3 linked regions of the Callithrix jacchus genome follow. The protein of the gene in region 3 purifies or fractionates together with the protein of the main gene of each other region. This does not show direct contact. Links are inferred from orthologs where the notes say so. Each region holds a gene or a part of one and is shown on either strand. Other genes may lie near its edges.

Region 1 (5,704 bases), on a different chromosome or scaffold from region 3:
GTATCTGCTCAGCTTGCTACACGGACGTCCCAAAGATCATTTATGCCTCCAGGACCCACTCACAACTCACCCAGGTCATCAGCGAGCTTCGGAACACCTCCTACCGGTGGGTCAGGCGAGTTCACACCTGTCTCAGGGTCATTGAGAGAACCCAACTTGGCATGGTGCAGGGTACACAGCCCATGCTGTGTAGTGGTGGAGAGTGGTGGTCTTTCTAGACGCTCCCCAGGAGTGTGCAGTGTGCTGGTGCCCAGGGGTAGGCTGGGGCCTGGGCTGCCTCCAGTACCTGTGACTGGTGAGAAATTAGCTTTGCATTTGTGTGCTGACTTTGGGCTGGTGTCTTGAGCTCCTTGCAGGCGGTGGGTGCTGTGGCAGTTGTGGGGCAGGGCCAGACTGCAGTGCAGCTTTGCACATGAAGTGGGAAGAGGCCCTGCCGCTTGTCAGAGCCCAGCAGAGTCTGGTATTCTGTCCTGGTTCCTGTGGCAGGACCGATGGCAGGGTGCTATGGAAGTTGTCGAGTCTTGACCCTCTGTCCAGGCCCCCCCCACTGTCTTCTTGCTCCCTCCCATGCCTGGGCCACGTTGCAGTTATGCTCGCTTCCTCTGGCCACTGAGGCACTTTTGTGTCCTCATACAGCTCACGCTGTGGGAACACTCTGTGACTGTTAGAGGCAGCTCCTCCTCGACCCACGTGCCCTCTCCCACCAGGCCTGAGGGTGTGCTGGGCTCCCACGCATGTGCCCTCTCCCACCAGGCCTGAGGGGTGTGTGCTGGTCTCCCACCCATGTGCCCTCTCCCATCAGGCCTAAGGTGTGTGTGCTGGGCTCCCGGGAGCAGCTGTGCATCCACCCTGAAGTGAAGAAGCAGGAGAGTAACCACATGCAGGTGGGTTCCTGGGCTCCTGTGGTTCAGGATTCCGTGAGGCGAGTGCTGCTGGGTGTCCAGAGCCCCAGGATCTGCTCCCTCTGGGATAGGGTTTGAAGTACACCCGGGGGACTGCAGGGGAGGACCTGGTGGGTGGAGGCTGATTCGGTTCCTTTCTTGGCCGGGCTCTAGCCTCGCACTTTGCCCTTCCTCCCTCAGATCCACTTGTGTCGAAAGAAGGTGGCAAGTCACTCCTGTCATTTCTACAACAACGTAGAAGGTACAAGCAGCTCGTTGCGGCCGGGGTTGGGTTGGAGTGTGTGAGTCTCTCAGGCGGAGCTTGGTGGGGCCGGAGCTGGTGGGACCAGGGTTGGTAGGACCAGGGTCGGTGGGACCAGGGTGGGGTTCAAGTGTGTGAATCTCTCAGGGCAGAGCTCTGTGGTGTCACAGCCTGGTCGTGCTTGCCTGGTGGGATGGCCAGTGCAGTCGTGTACCTGGGCCCTGTCTTCTGACTCGAGGCCTCTGTGATAGGCTCCTGTGTGGAAGAGCTCACACAGTGGTCCAAGACAGCCAGCCGGCAAGACTGGTTGGTGCCTGGGGTCATGGGTTTTGCAAAGGCTCCCTCCGTTTCCTGATGAGGGGCTTCCTGCATCTAAAGTGTTGGTGCAAACAGTAGGGTTTTGCTGAATACCTTCTTTCTCTTCGGGGAGCCTGGGATTTTGTTGCTTGCCCGGCAGTGGGTGCTCCTGGGACTGGCCCTCATACCATTCTGGGAGGGGTCTTGGAAGCTGTGTCTGACCTCCCCCGACCCTGCCCCATGTGTCTTTTTCCTGTGCTGACCTTGCTGTGTACTCCCTTGCTGCGAATAATTACAGCCCCAAGTGTGACTCCAGGCTGAGTCCTGTGGGTCCCACACAGGAGGCCCCGGGGCTTCTTCCAGAGACAGGACGAGTGAGTGAAAGTTATCTACCCGGGGCAGCCACAGCCTGTCAGAGGCCAGGGGTGCTTTTCCACCCACGTGGCTGCTCCTCTGGTGTGTTGGGCTTCTGAGGCTCATCTCAGGGTCCCAGAGGCAGTGGCAGGGTGAGCCCCTGTCTGGTGCCCTTGGTGTTTTCTGTGACCTGAGGTGTCATGTCTGCAGTCGCTGGGGCCTGGGCTTCTGTGGGATCAGGGTTCCCTGTTCCCTGCCTCGGTGGGGCTCGAGCCTCGGCTGATGTGGCCCTGCAGCGTAGAAGGCGGCAGTGGTCCTGTAGGCTGCTGTCTGCAGGATGCTTGTCGAGTGCTCAGTGTGCCAGGACTGAGGACCCTGAAGCTGCCGTGGCATCTAGGACAGTGCTCCCCTGCCAGGGGCGCAGCTGGCTGGTCCCTCGTGACCCACCACCAGGCATTTCTGGACCCTGCCCCTTGAAAAGACAGAGTGGATGGAACCTGGCCCTGCAGGGAGCCCCACTTGCTGAGGTGTGTTCTGTGTAGCTTTCTTCTTTGTTGGTTTTTTGGTCTGGTGACACCGAAGCCCCCAGTCACCTTGATGTGTGGTTGTCCAGGCCTTTCTGGTGGTCCTGAGAAGGGGCTCTGTATCTGAGCCCCAGGTTCCCTGACGGGAGCTGCACGCTTCTCTCAGCAATGCCTGTGGGAGGTGACTCTGGGACGGACAGGCAGATGTGTTGTTGGAAATTGTCAACAGTTGTCATTTCCAAGTTCCTCGCCCGGATAGGACAGGAACGCCTTCTGGGTGTCCCTAGGCCCATGCAGCGGGGTCCTTGGGATAGTGTGGAACGCTGACCATAGGCCTGGCCTGCCATGGTCCTGGACTAGGGCAGTGCCCTATGGCTGCTGGACTTGCTCCCTGGTGAGAGTAGTTGACTGCCTCCTGGTTCTGCTTCCATGGGTGTCAGGCCTATGGGTGTTGAGTCCCCCCTCTTTCTCCTCCCCCAGCCTGTGAGCTCAGTCCAAGAAGACACAGACCAGCCCCCAGCCTGTCTCCCTTGGCTTGGGCTCTCATTGCCTGACCTGCTGGGGTTGCCTAGCTGTGAACCTTGGTGTCCTGTCTGCCCCCTGGATGGGCTGTGAGGGTGGTGTCTGCAGCAGCTGCACAGGCCTGGGCATCTTTGGAGTGGGCTGCAGCTCCAGGAGGGACATGAGAGGAAGGGAGGCAGGTATTTTGGACGAACAAGGAGACAGCTGGAGAGCCTCTGGGACACCCCTGCCCCTCGTCCCCTTCCCCTCGCAGCTCCTGTCCTCGCCCCACCCTCAGCTCTCCACCCGGGAAGGGCTGGAAAGTGCCCATGTGTTGCAGCGCATGCTGATTGGCTGGCCTGTTGCTATGGTGCTGCTAAGGAGTGTGCTTTTCCTCCCCTGCCTTCCCTGCTATCCCTGGGGGCATGTGGGGTTGGGTCATCGCTGGTGTGTAGATGTGTGTGTATGTGTGCGTGCACGTGTGTGTGTGCGCGTGTGTGCGTGCATGCTTCTGGCCTCTGCAGCTGAGTCCTGGGTTGAGTCATCTCTGGGGTGTGTGTATGTGCGTGTGTGCGTGTATGTGTGTACACACTTGCTTCTGGCCTCTGCAGCTGAGTCCTGGCCCTCAGGGGACCTGGCATCTGCTGGGGACTGGCACAAAATAACCATGATGGAGTCGGGAGCTGGGGGAGGCTCCACGGCCACATGTGACTGCCCTAAGACTCTGGGATGCTTGTTAGAAGAGGTCCCTGGTCCTGTCTGTGTTTAAGCAGCTCCTTAAGGAATTCTTGTGGTTCCAGTTTGGGAGCCTGTGCTGTGGAGGCAAGGGAGGGGCAGGCCATCCCCCAAACTCCCTGAGATCTTTTCTGCCCTGGGCCTCTCAGCCAGCATAGGCAGTGCCCTTTCTCATGGCTGCCATGCTGCGGGGGTGGGGGTGGGGCACTGTTTAACACAGGAAAACCTGGTTCTTTTTTAGCTGGAAGTTCTGGGTCTGTTGTGGTTGGCAGGGAAGCTGAGTGACTGGCTGTAATCGCAAGGGTTTGTGAGAGACACCTCTGTGAGCTGGGGCAATAGGCTGAGGGGCTGTCCTTTCCTGCCCTGAGGAGGGCTGGGTATGGCCACCACTCCTGTACTATCTTGAGTTGTCTTGGAGAGGATGTGGAGAACCCTCGGGACCCTGCTGGCCTCTGTTGGATCCACCCTCAGCCTCAGACTGCCTTCTAGGGCAGAGGAGGACTCCCTTGGGATCACTTTGGGTGGGGGCCTCCCTTGGGCACCTGAGACCCTCAGTGGGTGCTTTGTGGCATGTTCCCGGTTGTGGGAGAACGCCCAGCCCTGCCCACTGTGTAGGAGCTGTTCTGTCCTGGGCATCCCCTTGTGGTCTGGGAGACTTAGCGGACCCTGAGGGTATGTGTTTACCCCTGCCTCACACCTACAGAGAAGAGCCTGGAGCAGGAGCTGACCAGCCCCATCCTGGACATCGAGGACTTGGTCAAGAGCGGAAGCAGGCACAGGTGAGACCCGTCAGTGAGGCCACACCCACCATGTCCTTCCACGGCCCAGCTCTCCTGTGGCCTGCTGAACCCCCAATATGTTTCTTTCTTTTTAAATTATGAAACTAACAACCATTCAGTATGAAAAAGTTTCAGCAGCCCTGAGGAACGTAAGTAAAAAGCAAAACTGCCTCCCTAGTCCCTGGCCCTCAGCCACCCCAGATGGCCACTGTGGCCCCTGTGTCTGCTGTGGAGGCTTTGTCTGCCATTTTCCGTTTTCACAGCATTGTGAATAGCTTCTCACACTGGTGCTGGTAGCTTGGCCTCGTTCTTTTGAGGACAGCAGATATGTCCGACATCAATAGATTATAGCTTCAGAGATTCAAGTTGTAATAAAGCTTTTCTTATATTTAGGGTGAAAAGCTCCCCTCCCCCCTTTTTTTGTGAGACAGAGTCTAGCTCTGTTTCCTAGGCTGGAGTGCAGAGTCGGGATCTCGGCCCACTGCAGCCTCAACCTCCCAGGCTCAAGCGATTCTCCCAGCTGAGCCTCCCAAGTAGCAGGGACTACAGGCACGCACCACCATTCCTGGTTAATTTTTGTATTTTTTGTACAGACAGGGTCTCACTGTGTTGCCCAGGCCAGTCTCAAACTCCTGAGCTCAAGATACCTGCCCACCTTCGCCTCCCAAAGTGATGGGATTACAGGCGTGAGCCACTGCACCTTACCAGCTCTGCTTTTTTTTTAGTGCTTCTGTGTTGTGTTTGTTTCTGATGACCTCTATTCGGGAATAGGGTTGTTTTTTCTTTTCCATTGAGTTTTTGTTGTTGTTGTTTTTATAGAGACAGGGTTTCACCATGTTGGTCAGGCTGGTCTTGAATTCCCCACCTCAGGTGATCCACCCGCCTGGGCCTCCCAAAGTGCTTGGATTACAGGCATGAGCCACCGTGCCTGACCCTTCCATTGAGTTTTTAAAAAGACGATGATTCACATGGTTGGAAACTGATATGTACTCCCCATCCATCCCAGACAGCAGCTTCCCATCTGGGCTCCCACGTGCAGGATAAGGCTTCTTCCTGGTCAGAAGCCATGGCGGCCCCGCCCTCGGGTCATCCTCTGCACGGGGCGCTCACAGCACCCTCCCTGCTCTCCCCTCCAGGGTGTGCCCTTACTACCTGTCCCGGAACCTGAAGCAGCAGGCTGACATCATCTTCATGCCGTACAATTACTTGTTGGATGCCAAGGTGGGGGCTCAGTCTGTGCATCTGGTGACTCCTGATGTCCAGTGGGTATCTATCTCTGGGCTTAGGACAGGCCATCCGAGCCTTGCGGGTTCAGGGCCTCAGAGCAGCAGGCGTGGGCGGGAGGACTCAACTCTTGTCACTTGGCAGGCG
Region 2 (5,704 bases), about 28 Mb from region 3:
AGGTTTCACCATGTTGGCCAGTATGGTCTTGAGCTCCTGACCTCATGATCTGCCTGCCTCGACCTCCCAAAGTGCTGGGATTACAGGCGTGAGCCACCGCACCCAGCCAAATAAATAAATAAATAAGAAGAGAACAAAATAGTAAGTGCCCAGCATGCTAAGGAGAAATAAGGATTATAGCTAACACAGGGTGGTATCTATGCTGTCTGCTATACATGTGGTTTTGAGAATTAGGTAAGATTCTGTCCACATCAGCACTATGGAACATAACGTACTAAACAAAACTTTAGCAGTTTGGTAGTTCACCAAAATGTTAAATATGAAATTAGCACATGACCCATGCCTAGGTAACTACAAAGAAAATGAAAGAAATGAAACTATGGCCACCTAAAACTATGCATGTGAATGTTCATGCAATGTAATGCAATATTACTCATTACAGCAAAAAAGTGGAAACAACTCAAATGTCCATCAGCCAGCCAATGAATGGATGAACAAAATGTGGTCTATCCATACAACAGAATACATTCAGCCATAAAAAAATGAGGGTCTCATATATGCTGAAACGTGAATGAACCTTGCAAACATTAGGCTAAGTGAAAGAAGCCAGACACAAAAGGTCACATAATGAATGGTTCTACTTATATCATATATCCAGAATAGATGAATCCATACAGAAAGAAAGCCAATTAGTAGTTGCCAGGGAGTTGAGGGAGGAGAGAGGGGATAGGAATGACGTTTCCTTTTAGGGTGATAAACGTGTCTTAGAAATAGAGGGAAGTGATGGTTGCACAATATTGGGAATACACTAAACACCAATTATATACATTAAAATGGTTAATGATCAATTGTATGTTATATACTTTTTTTTTTTTTATTTTTTGAGACAGAGTTTTGCTCTTGTTGCCCAGGCTGGAGTGCAATGACATGATCTTGGCTCACTTCAATCTCCACTTCCCAGATTCAAGCAATTCTCCTGCCTCAGCCTCTTGAGTAGCTAGGATAGGGGGGTGGGGGCAGAAGCTCATTATCACTGGTCATTAGAGAAATGCAAATCAAAATCACATTGAGATACCATCTCACTCCAGTTAGAATGGCAATCGTTAAAAAATCAGGAGACAGCTGGGCATGGTGGCTCATGCCTGTAATCCCAGCACTTTGGGAGGCCAAGGCAGGCAGATCACGAGGTCAGATCAAGACCATCCTGGCCAACACAGTGAAACCCCATCTCTACTAAAAATACAAAAAATTAGCTGGGTACAGTGGCAGGCGCCTGTAATCCCAGCTATCAGGAGGCTGAGGGAGGAGAATCGCTTGAACCCAGGAGGCAGAGGTTGCAGTGAGCCATTGCACTTCAGCCTGGGCAACACAGCAAGATTCTGTCTCAAAAAAAAAAAAATTCAGGAGACAGATGCTAGAGAGGATGTGGAGAAATAGAAACACTTTTACACTGTTGGTGGGAGTGTAAATTAGTTCAACCATTGTGGAAGACTGTGGTGATTCCTCAAGGATCTAGAAACAGGAATACCATTTGACCCAGCAATCCCATTACTGGGTAGACACCAAAAGGATTATAAATCACTCTATTATAAAGACATATGCACACGTTTATTACAGGACTGTTCACAATAGCAAAGACTTGGAACCAACCCAAATGCCCATCAATGAGAGACTGGATAAAGAAAATATGGCACATACACACCATGGAATAATATGCGGCCATGAAAAAGGATGAGTTCATGTCCTTGGCAGGGACATGGATAAAACTGGAAACCATCATTCTCAGCAAACCGACACAAGAACAGAAAAACAAAGACTGCATGTCCTCACTCATAAGTGGGTGGTGAACAATGAGAACACATGGACACAGGGGAGGGAACATCACACATCAAGGCCGTTCAGAGGGTGGGTGCTAGGGGAGGAATAGCAGGGGGTAGGGGGATAGGGGAGGTATAGCATTAGGAGAAATACCTAATGTAGATGAAGGGGTGATGGATGCAGCAAACCACCATGGCACATGTATTACTATGTAACAAACTGGCATGTTCAGTACACATACCCCCAAACTTAAAGTAAAATAAAATTCAAAAAGAGAAAAAAAAAGCTGGGTGCAGTGGCTCATGCCTGTAATCCCAGCACTTTGGGAGGCCAAGGCGGGTGTATCACGAGGTCAAGAGATCAAGACCATCCTGGTCAACATGGTGAAACCCCGTCTCTACTAAAAATACAAAAAATTAGCTGGGCGTGGTGCCGCGTGCCTGTAATCCCAGCCACTCAGGAGGCTGAGGCAGGAGAATTGCCTGAACCCAGGAGGCGGAGGTTGCGATGAGCCGAGATTGCGCCATTGCACTCCAGCCTGGGTAACAAGAAAAAAACTCCGTCTCAAAAAAAAAAAAGAAAAAAAAAAGAACTTTCATTCCAACCTCAAATAAATAAATAAATAAATAAATAAATAAAATGGTTAATGATCAATTTTATGTTATATATTTATTTTTTTTTTGAGACAGAGTTTCGCTCTTATTACTCAGGCTAGAATGGAATGGCACGATCTTGGCTCACTGCAATCTCCATCTCCTGGGTTCAAGCGATTCTCTTGCCTCAGCCTCCCAAGCAGCTGGGATTACAGGCATCCACCACCACGCCCAGCTAATTTTATATTTTTAGTAGTGATGGGGTTTCACCATGTTGGCCAAGCTGGTCTTGAACTCCTGACCTTAGGTGATCTACCCACCGCAGCCTCCCAAAGTGCTGGGATTACAGGCTTGAGCCACTGCACCCAGCAAATTTATTTTAAAAAAGGAATAAAATGCTGATACGTAAGTTACAACGTGAAGACGAATTTCAAAAACAGCATGCTGCGTGAAAAAAGCCAGTCATCAAAGACCACATATTGCATGATTCTATTTATATGAAATGCCCAGAGTGGGCAAATCTACAGAGACAGAAAGTAGGTTAGTGGTTGCCTTGGGCTGAGGGAATTGGAGGAAAATGAGAAGTGACTACTAAAGGGTATAGGGCTTCTTTCTTGGGGGTTCGTTTTGGGGTGACGAAAATGCTAAAAATTGATTGTGGTGATGGCTGCACAACTCTGTGAATATACTAAAAACCACTAAATTGCACTTTAAATAATGAACTACACAGATATGAGTTATACATCAATAAAGCTGTTACAAAAAAAAGTAACATTTCATTACCTGTCTAATAAACAAGTTACTGTTGTCATGTTAACCTCCTTCACATATCCTCTACACAAAGCAAATAGTGATCTTTCTTCTCCACTCACAATAATTCTGTCACCTGCCATTAGATTTGTGACAGGTATGGCACCATTTTTATGTTGGAAATTATGTAAATACTGTCCATCACAAACTGTCTTTACATGTTCCATTCGAATCAAGTTTCCAATGCAACTGCCACCCTTCTCCCTATGAAAAAGACCAAAGAGAAAAAGCTTCCGTTTATGTTACATATGTAAGTATTGTCCTTGTATTTTCCTTGTACATATGTAAGTATTGTGCTTGCATTTTCAGATGAACTTACTCGTTCATCTGAGCCCTAAAAACTAATACTGAGCCTGTCATTTTTACATTTTCCACAACCTTCAATAAAGTGTTAGAAATGTTAAGTAAACATTCTATCAGTTTTGGGCTTTTGGAAACAACCTCCAACCCCTCCGGGTCAACTAATTCTCATGCTGCAGACTTCCAAGTAGCTAGGATTACAAGCGTATGCCACCATGCCAAGCTAGTATTTTGTAATTTTAGTAGAGACAGGGTTTCACCATGTTGACCAGGTGGGTTTTGAACTCCTGGCCTTAAGTGACCCACCCGCCTCAGCCTCCCAAAGTGCTGGGATTACAAGCCTGAGCCACCATGCTTGCCCTATCATTAGTTTTTAATGTATTGCTCAACTGTTGTTGAAACTAAAGCAATTTTACAGTCTTGTAGGAAAATGCTAGGGAGCACCCCACTCCTGATGTACCCACGGGCTGGGATCTCTGAACAAGGTGTTTTGTTGCCACTTTGATCCCTGAAAGATAGATACCCCCACCTTTTAAGCTGATACATATAACATTACAGAAAACAAACCATAATAACCTGCTCCTAAATGTGAAATTTTTAAAAATTATAACATATTTCTTTAATATTTACAATAAGATTTATAATAATGACAAGCAAACTGATAATTCCACTGCTTCTAAATGAGTATAAAAGGCCAGGTGTGGTGGCTCACACCTGTAATCTCCGCACTTTGGGAGGCCAAAGTGGGCAAATCACCTGAGGTCAGGAGTTTGAGACCAGTCTGGCTAACATGGTGAAATCCCGTTTCTACTAAAAATACAAAAAATTAACCAGGTGTGCTGTCACATGCCGGTAATCCCAGTTACTTGGGAGGATGAAGGAGGAGAATCACTTGAACCCAGGAGGCAGAGATTGCAGTGAGCCGAGATCGTGCCACTGCACTCCAGTTTGGGCAACAAGAGTGAAATTCCATCTCAAAAGAAAAAAAAAGAAAAAGAAATGAGTATTAAACATTTTAAAACCTCTCTGGCACTACTACAAAATAACATGCAATCTCAGAGGCTTATTGGTATTTACGTAGGTATGACAGATTCACTACACCTTATGCAGTCTAACTACAATTAAATAAACTTACTCCATAGCAATGTTATCTTCTGTTAAAGTCTAATATTGGAGAACTAATGATCCAATTATTTCTAAAGTCATGTCATTAATATTCATTCTGGAAAGAAAAAAAGTGAAACTAAAGCAATTTTTACATTAAAAAAAATTTTGGCTGGGTGAGTGTAATCACAAGGTCAGGAGTTCCAGATCAGCTTGGCCAACATGGCGAAACCCTGTCTCTACTAAAAATACAAAAATTAGCTGGGTATGGTGGCATGCGCCTGTAATCCTAGCTTCTTGGGAGGCTGAGGCATGAGAATTACTGTAACCTGGGAGGTGGAGGCAGCAATGAACCAAGACACTCCCACCTGGGTGACTGAGCAAGACTCTGTCAAAAAAAAAAAGTTTTACATACTATAAAGGGCCTAAGGTTAAAAAAGCTAAAGCAATTACATTTTACATAAATTTTACATGTATATAGTAAACTCACTATACATATGCAGTCTATAATTATATATATATAAACTTTTTCAACTGCAATGTTTCCTTGTATTAAAGTCATTATTAGGTAAATAATGATCCAATTATTTCTAAAGTCACATCATTAATATTCATTCTACAAAGAAAAAATAAGCTAAAGAAATGAAATTTTACATAAAAAAAAATACTATGCAAAGATATACCAAATTCTAGGTGAGGTAGTGGCTTATACCTATAATCTCCGCACTTTGGGAGACCAAGGTGGGAGGATCACTTGAGCCCAGGAGTTTAAGACTAGCCTGGGCAATAGCAAGACTCTGTCTCTATAATAATGTAAAATAAAATAAAATAAAAAATTAGCCGCAGCACAGTGGCTTGCAGGTGTAATACAAGCACTTTGGGTGGTCAAGGTTGGAAGACTGCTTGAGGCCAAGAGTTCAAGACCAGCCTGGGCCACATAGCAAGACCCCTTCTCTAAAAAAAAAAAAAGAACAAAACAAAACAAAAAACAAAAACGGCCAGGCACAGTGGCTCACGCCTGTAATCACAGAACTTTGGGTGGCCAAGGCCTGTGGATCACAAGGTCAGGAGATCGAGAC
Region 3 (4,363 bases):
ATGATTTGCATCCTTCATTGTTAAAGGGAAAATGTATATGTAGCCTCTATGTCAGCATTTCCTCCCTCCTTTTTAGGGCAGCAGCTGGATGAATTCCTACAGCTGGCTGTGGACAAAGTAGAGGCTGGCCTGGGCTCTGGGCCCTGTCGTAGTCAGGCCTTCACTCTTCTTCTCTGGGTAAGGAGTTGGGGGTGGAATCTGGTTAGACAGAGAGGCAATTATGTCTGGTTAAACAAAATGTCCCTATTTGACTCCAAACCATAAACTTCTGTGTCTCAGGGTTCTGGGGTTTGAGTGTCATTCCCCAATTGCTCTTTCTGTCTCCAATTACAGGTAACGAAGGCCCTAGTGCTCAGATACCATCCTCTCAGCTCCTGCCTTACAACCCAGGTATGTTCTTTCTGGAGACAGGAGAACCCAGGACTTAAACAAACTTTCTTGATAATTCTATTCCTCCCAAAGACGTCTATCCTCGTGTGTGTGTGTGTGTGTGTATTTTGGGTTTTTTTGAGATGGGCTCACACACAGTTGCCCAGGCTGGGGTGCAGTGGGGTGATCACAGCCCACTGCAACCTCATCTGCTGTAGGCTCAGGTGATCCTCCCACCTCAGCCTCCCAAGTAGCTGGGATGTAGGCACACCCCACCACACCCAGCTAATTTTTGTGAGAACAGGGTTTAGCCATGTTGCCCAGACTCCTAGGCTCAAGCAATCCACCTGCCTTGGCCTCCAAAAAGTGCTAAGATTACAAGGGTAAGCCAACACACCCAGCCCCATCCTCGTCTTTGACACTTCTTCCCTGATGTACCTCAAAGGCTCTCTTTTCTCCAGCTCATGGGCCTCCTGAGTGACCCAGAATTAGGTCCAGCAGCAGCTGATGGCTTCTCTCTGCTCATGTCTGACTGCACTGATGTGTTGACTCGTGCTGGCCATGCTGAAGTGCGGATCATGTTCCGCCAGCGCTTCTTCACAGATAATGTGCCTGCTTTGGTCCAGGGCTTCCATGCTGCTCCCCAAGGTGAGGAGTCTGAAAGAAAGGCCCCACACATACACACCTCTCCTTTGCTTGTCCACATTACCCGATAACTTAGGACCTGCTTGCTTCTTTAGAGCTATATTGTGGTCTGTGCCTAGGAGACTGAACTTCTAGATTCTTGTCCCACTTCTTCCTTTGTGGGTGTATCTTGTTTATTCTAAACATGAAGGGCTTTTCACCCCTTTGTAGGCTGATGTCTCAACCTCATCACAGATCGGAATTGAATTCTCAAGCTATGTATCTAAGCCCAATTTCTCTCCTAAGCTTTCCCATTTTTTTACAGGTGTGAAGCCAAACTACTTGAAGGGTCTTTCTCATGTACTTAACAGGCTGCCCAAGCCTGTGCTCTTGCCAGAGCTGCCCACAGTAAGTCCTGCAGGTAGAACCTCTAAGCGAAGGACAATTCTTTCCCAGATGGGGCTAGAAAGGGAGGGTACAAGAACCAGGATCTGCATGATGTGGCCATCCCACACCTTGCCCATTGCCCCTTAGCTTCTTTCCTTGCTGCTGGAGGCCCTGTCCTGCCCTGACTGTGTGGTACAGCTCTCTACCCTCAGCTGCCTTCAGCCTCTTCTACTGGAAGCACCCCAAGTCATGAGTCTTCACGTGGACACTCTCGTCACCAAGTTTCTGAACCTCACCTCTAGCCCTTCCATGGTATGTTGAGCCCCAGCAACTCTCAGGAACCAGCAGCTCTCCCTGGGTCTGCTCTCACCTCCTTGTGGTTGTGTTCCAGGCCGTCCGGATCGCCGCACTGCAGTGCATGCATGCTCTCACTCGCTTGCCCACCCCTGTGGTAAGTACCTCAGGTGCCCCTCTCTGGCCTGGGACCGTCTCAAGAGACAGATAAATACCTTTTTGCCTTAGTCGAGTGGGCTTGGCTGTTTCAATTACACCCTGCTGTGTAATTGAGATCTGAATTACAAGGTACAGATAAGCAAGGATTCTTTTCCTTGGGCCCAGAAGGTAACAGAATGGCCATCCCTTGGAATCACTAAAGATGTTTCAGTTTCCTCAGAATATTAGTTGTACAGAATCAAAAAAGGGGCACTTTCAGTTGCCTTGGATGAGCAAGGTTGATTATATCCTCTGACTCCACAGCTGCTGCCATACAAACCACAGGTGATCCGAGCCTTAGCCAAACCCTTGGATGACAAGAAGAGACTGGTGCGCAAGGAAGCAGTGTCAGCCAGAGGGGAGTGGTGAGTTTCTAGGCCATGGGGAGAAATGGGACCGAGATGAGCCTTACCACTAATGCTGCCAACTTTCTTTTTGCCTACAGGTTTCTGTTGGGGAGCCCTGGCAGCTGAGCTGTCAGTCCTGGCCTAGACTGTTCTGACAATCTAACCTGGAATTACTAACTATGGAGCCATCATCCCCAAAGCAGGGAAACTGCTGGCCTCTGCCTGCCTTTCCTACAGACACAGCACAAATGCTAGGCTTCTGTTGCATGGAGCATAAGGTCCAGATTTCTAGTGGATTTGTGCATTAACTGTGAGACACTTGTGTTTGAAGAAAGATCTAGGGTCTTGGGTCTCTTGCATTTGTATGTCAGAGAAGGGGTAATATGCTGCTGAGGGGTGAGTGCATATGACTGTGGCCCTGAGGACCAGGGGTGGTGGCTGTGTGTGCACCTGCTGAAGAATAAAGATGTCTTTTGGTAATGGGACTGTCAGACATTTCCCCCACCCAACATATGCCTCGTAGAACCAGAGGCATTACTAAACTAAGCTGGAAGAACAATGATGACAGGGACTGGCCAAAAATTTTTCAGGGTAACCAACAAAGTAGCTCATGCCTGTAACCCCAACACTTTAGGAGACTGAAGCAGGAGGATTGCTTGAGGCAGGGAGTTTGAGACTGGTCCTGGGCAATATAGCAAGAACCCATCTCCACAAATAATTTAAAAAATTCGGCTGGGCATGGTGGCTTACGCCTGTAATCCCAGCATTTTGGGAGGCCAAGGGGGGTGGATCACTGGAGGTCAGGAGTTCAATACTGGGCAACTTGGTTAAACCCCATGTCTACTAAAAATGCAAAAATTAACCAGGTGTGGTGGCACACGCCTTTACTTGGGAGGCTGAGGCACAAGAATCGCTTCAACCTGGGAGGCGGAGGTTGCAGTGAGTTGAGATCATGCCAAAGTGTAAGAGGCATGACCAGAATACCTACTCACTAGGTCTTGACACTGATTTTCCCCTTCCCCACCCTATTGTGAGGCAGAGTGAGGAGCTACATACCTTTAAAAATCGAATGCCTTTATTTTTTGCTCCCTTCAGCAGCATGTGAGAAGTGGCAGTGACCTCAGCAGCAGGCCTGGTATCTTTGTCCTGTTGAGAAGCCAGGATCTCAGCTGTACTAGTCAGGTATTTTTTCAGACAGCAAGTAGAGGTGGTGGCCAACTCCAATGCTGTATCCTGGAGGAGGTCTGGGTCAGCACTGGGTAAGGTAGGTAGCTAGCTGCCTGACCCCTAGTCTGGGGCTGGAACTTCTGTTTGCCTGAGTAAAGGGATGTCAGTCCTAAGATTTATCCACATTGTGTCTTGCTTCTGCAGTGGTGAAAAGGCTGGTCCTTGAATTGTCCTGCATGGTACCCTAAGGCAGGCCCACTGGCTCTTTTTGATCAAGGATTCCAAGAAAAGCTGCCCTTGGAGGCCCTTAAAATAACATAGGAAGCAGAATGAGTGCTCGAGTTGTGGCTGACACAATCTAGCTCACACTGCCATCACAGAGGCTGAGTGAGCAGTCACCCAGGGAGGGGGCTCCCAGCTCATTCCATTCCCATGGGGCAGGTGACTAGAAGGTAAGAGCACCCGAGTAAGCCAATGCCTAGAAGAGAAGAGAGAAATCTGTCTGAGTTCCAAGAATTCTTGGTCCTTAATCATTCCCTGGCAAGCATACATCAAGGTATCCTGAAGCTACCTCGGTGTCAATCATGAAGGTAACAAAAGTTCTAATTTCTTCTATCCAATTTTATCCAACAAATTGTACCTTCTGGTGCCTTGAAGGCCTGTTGAGGTTTCATGCTAAACTTCTAAAGGGCCACTGTAAGCACAGTGATAGGAGGAGTGTCACATGCATGGGAAAGGGAGGAGGGAAGGCACGTCCACTCATCTGATTGTTAATGCCTCAGTAACCGCCATTTGAAAAACTGTTTCCCCTTGTCTTGGGCTGAGCGAGCTAGCTCCAATTACTGTCTTAGGGCCTCTGTCACAAATAGGTTATTTTAATCTCACAAATTATTGGCTTGAACTCTACACACTGCTCACCAAGTGAGAGGTGATTGGTGGCCAATGCATCCTACACCCAAAGGCCCCTTCCTGAGCAC

The links. Proteins that work in one complex are often made in the same cells at the same time.
Region 1: the proteins of MMS19 (region 3) and RTEL1 purify together in Homo sapiens (affinity purification with western blotting; 4 studies listed by BioGRID and IntAct, with this or other methods). This does not show direct contact. The link is inferred for Callithrix jacchus from reciprocal best matches to the Homo sapiens genes MMS19 and RTEL1.
Region 2: the proteins of MMS19 (region 3) and DNA2 purify together in Homo sapiens (affinity purification with mass spectrometry; 3 studies listed by BioGRID and IntAct, counting the BioPlex papers as one, with this or other methods). This does not show direct contact. The link is inferred for Callithrix jacchus from reciprocal best matches to the Homo sapiens genes MMS19 and DNA2.

Annotation. Positions count from the first base shown.
Region 1 is NC_133506.1:59,155,945-59,161,648, forward strand, and holds part of RTEL1 (regulator of telomere elongation helicase 1), read left to right. Parts: intron 1-12; coding exon 13-106; intron 107-802; coding exon 803-884; intron 885-1,082; coding exon 1,083-1,143; intron 1,144-4,257; coding exon 4,258-4,333; intron 4,334-5,469; coding exon 5,470-5,554; intron 5,555-5,704. UniProt on the Homo sapiens protein: A probable ATP-dependent DNA helicase implicated in telomere-length regulation, DNA repair and the maintenance of genomic stability. Acts as an anti-recombinase to counteract toxic recombination and limit crossover during meiosis.
Region 2 is NC_133513.1:61,979,355-61,985,058, reverse strand, and holds part of DNA2 (DNA replication ATP-dependent helicase/nuclease DNA2), read right to left. Parts: intron 3,426-5,704; coding exon 3,195-3,425; intron 1-3,194. UniProt on the Homo sapiens protein: Key enzyme involved in DNA replication and DNA repair in nucleus and mitochondrion.
Region 3 is NC_133513.1:90,278,767-90,283,129, reverse strand, and holds the end of MMS19 (MMS19 nucleotide excision repair protein homolog), read left to right. Parts: intron 1-76; coding exon 77-177; intron 178-333; coding exon 334-390; intron 391-830; coding exon 831-1,017; intron 1,018-1,318; coding exon 1,319-1,401; intron 1,402-1,527; coding exon 1,528-1,692; intron 1,693-1,771; coding exon 1,772-1,831; intron 1,832-2,136; coding exon 2,137-2,237; intron 2,238-2,317; coding exon 2,318-2,345; 3' UTR 2,346-2,699; downstream 2,700-4,363. Other genes in the region: palmitoyltransferase ZDHHC16, read right to left, coding at 3,750-3,864. UniProt on the Homo sapiens protein: Key component of the cytosolic iron-sulfur protein assembly (CIA) complex, a multiprotein complex that mediates the incorporation of iron-sulfur cluster into apoproteins specifically involved in DNA metabolism and genomic integrity.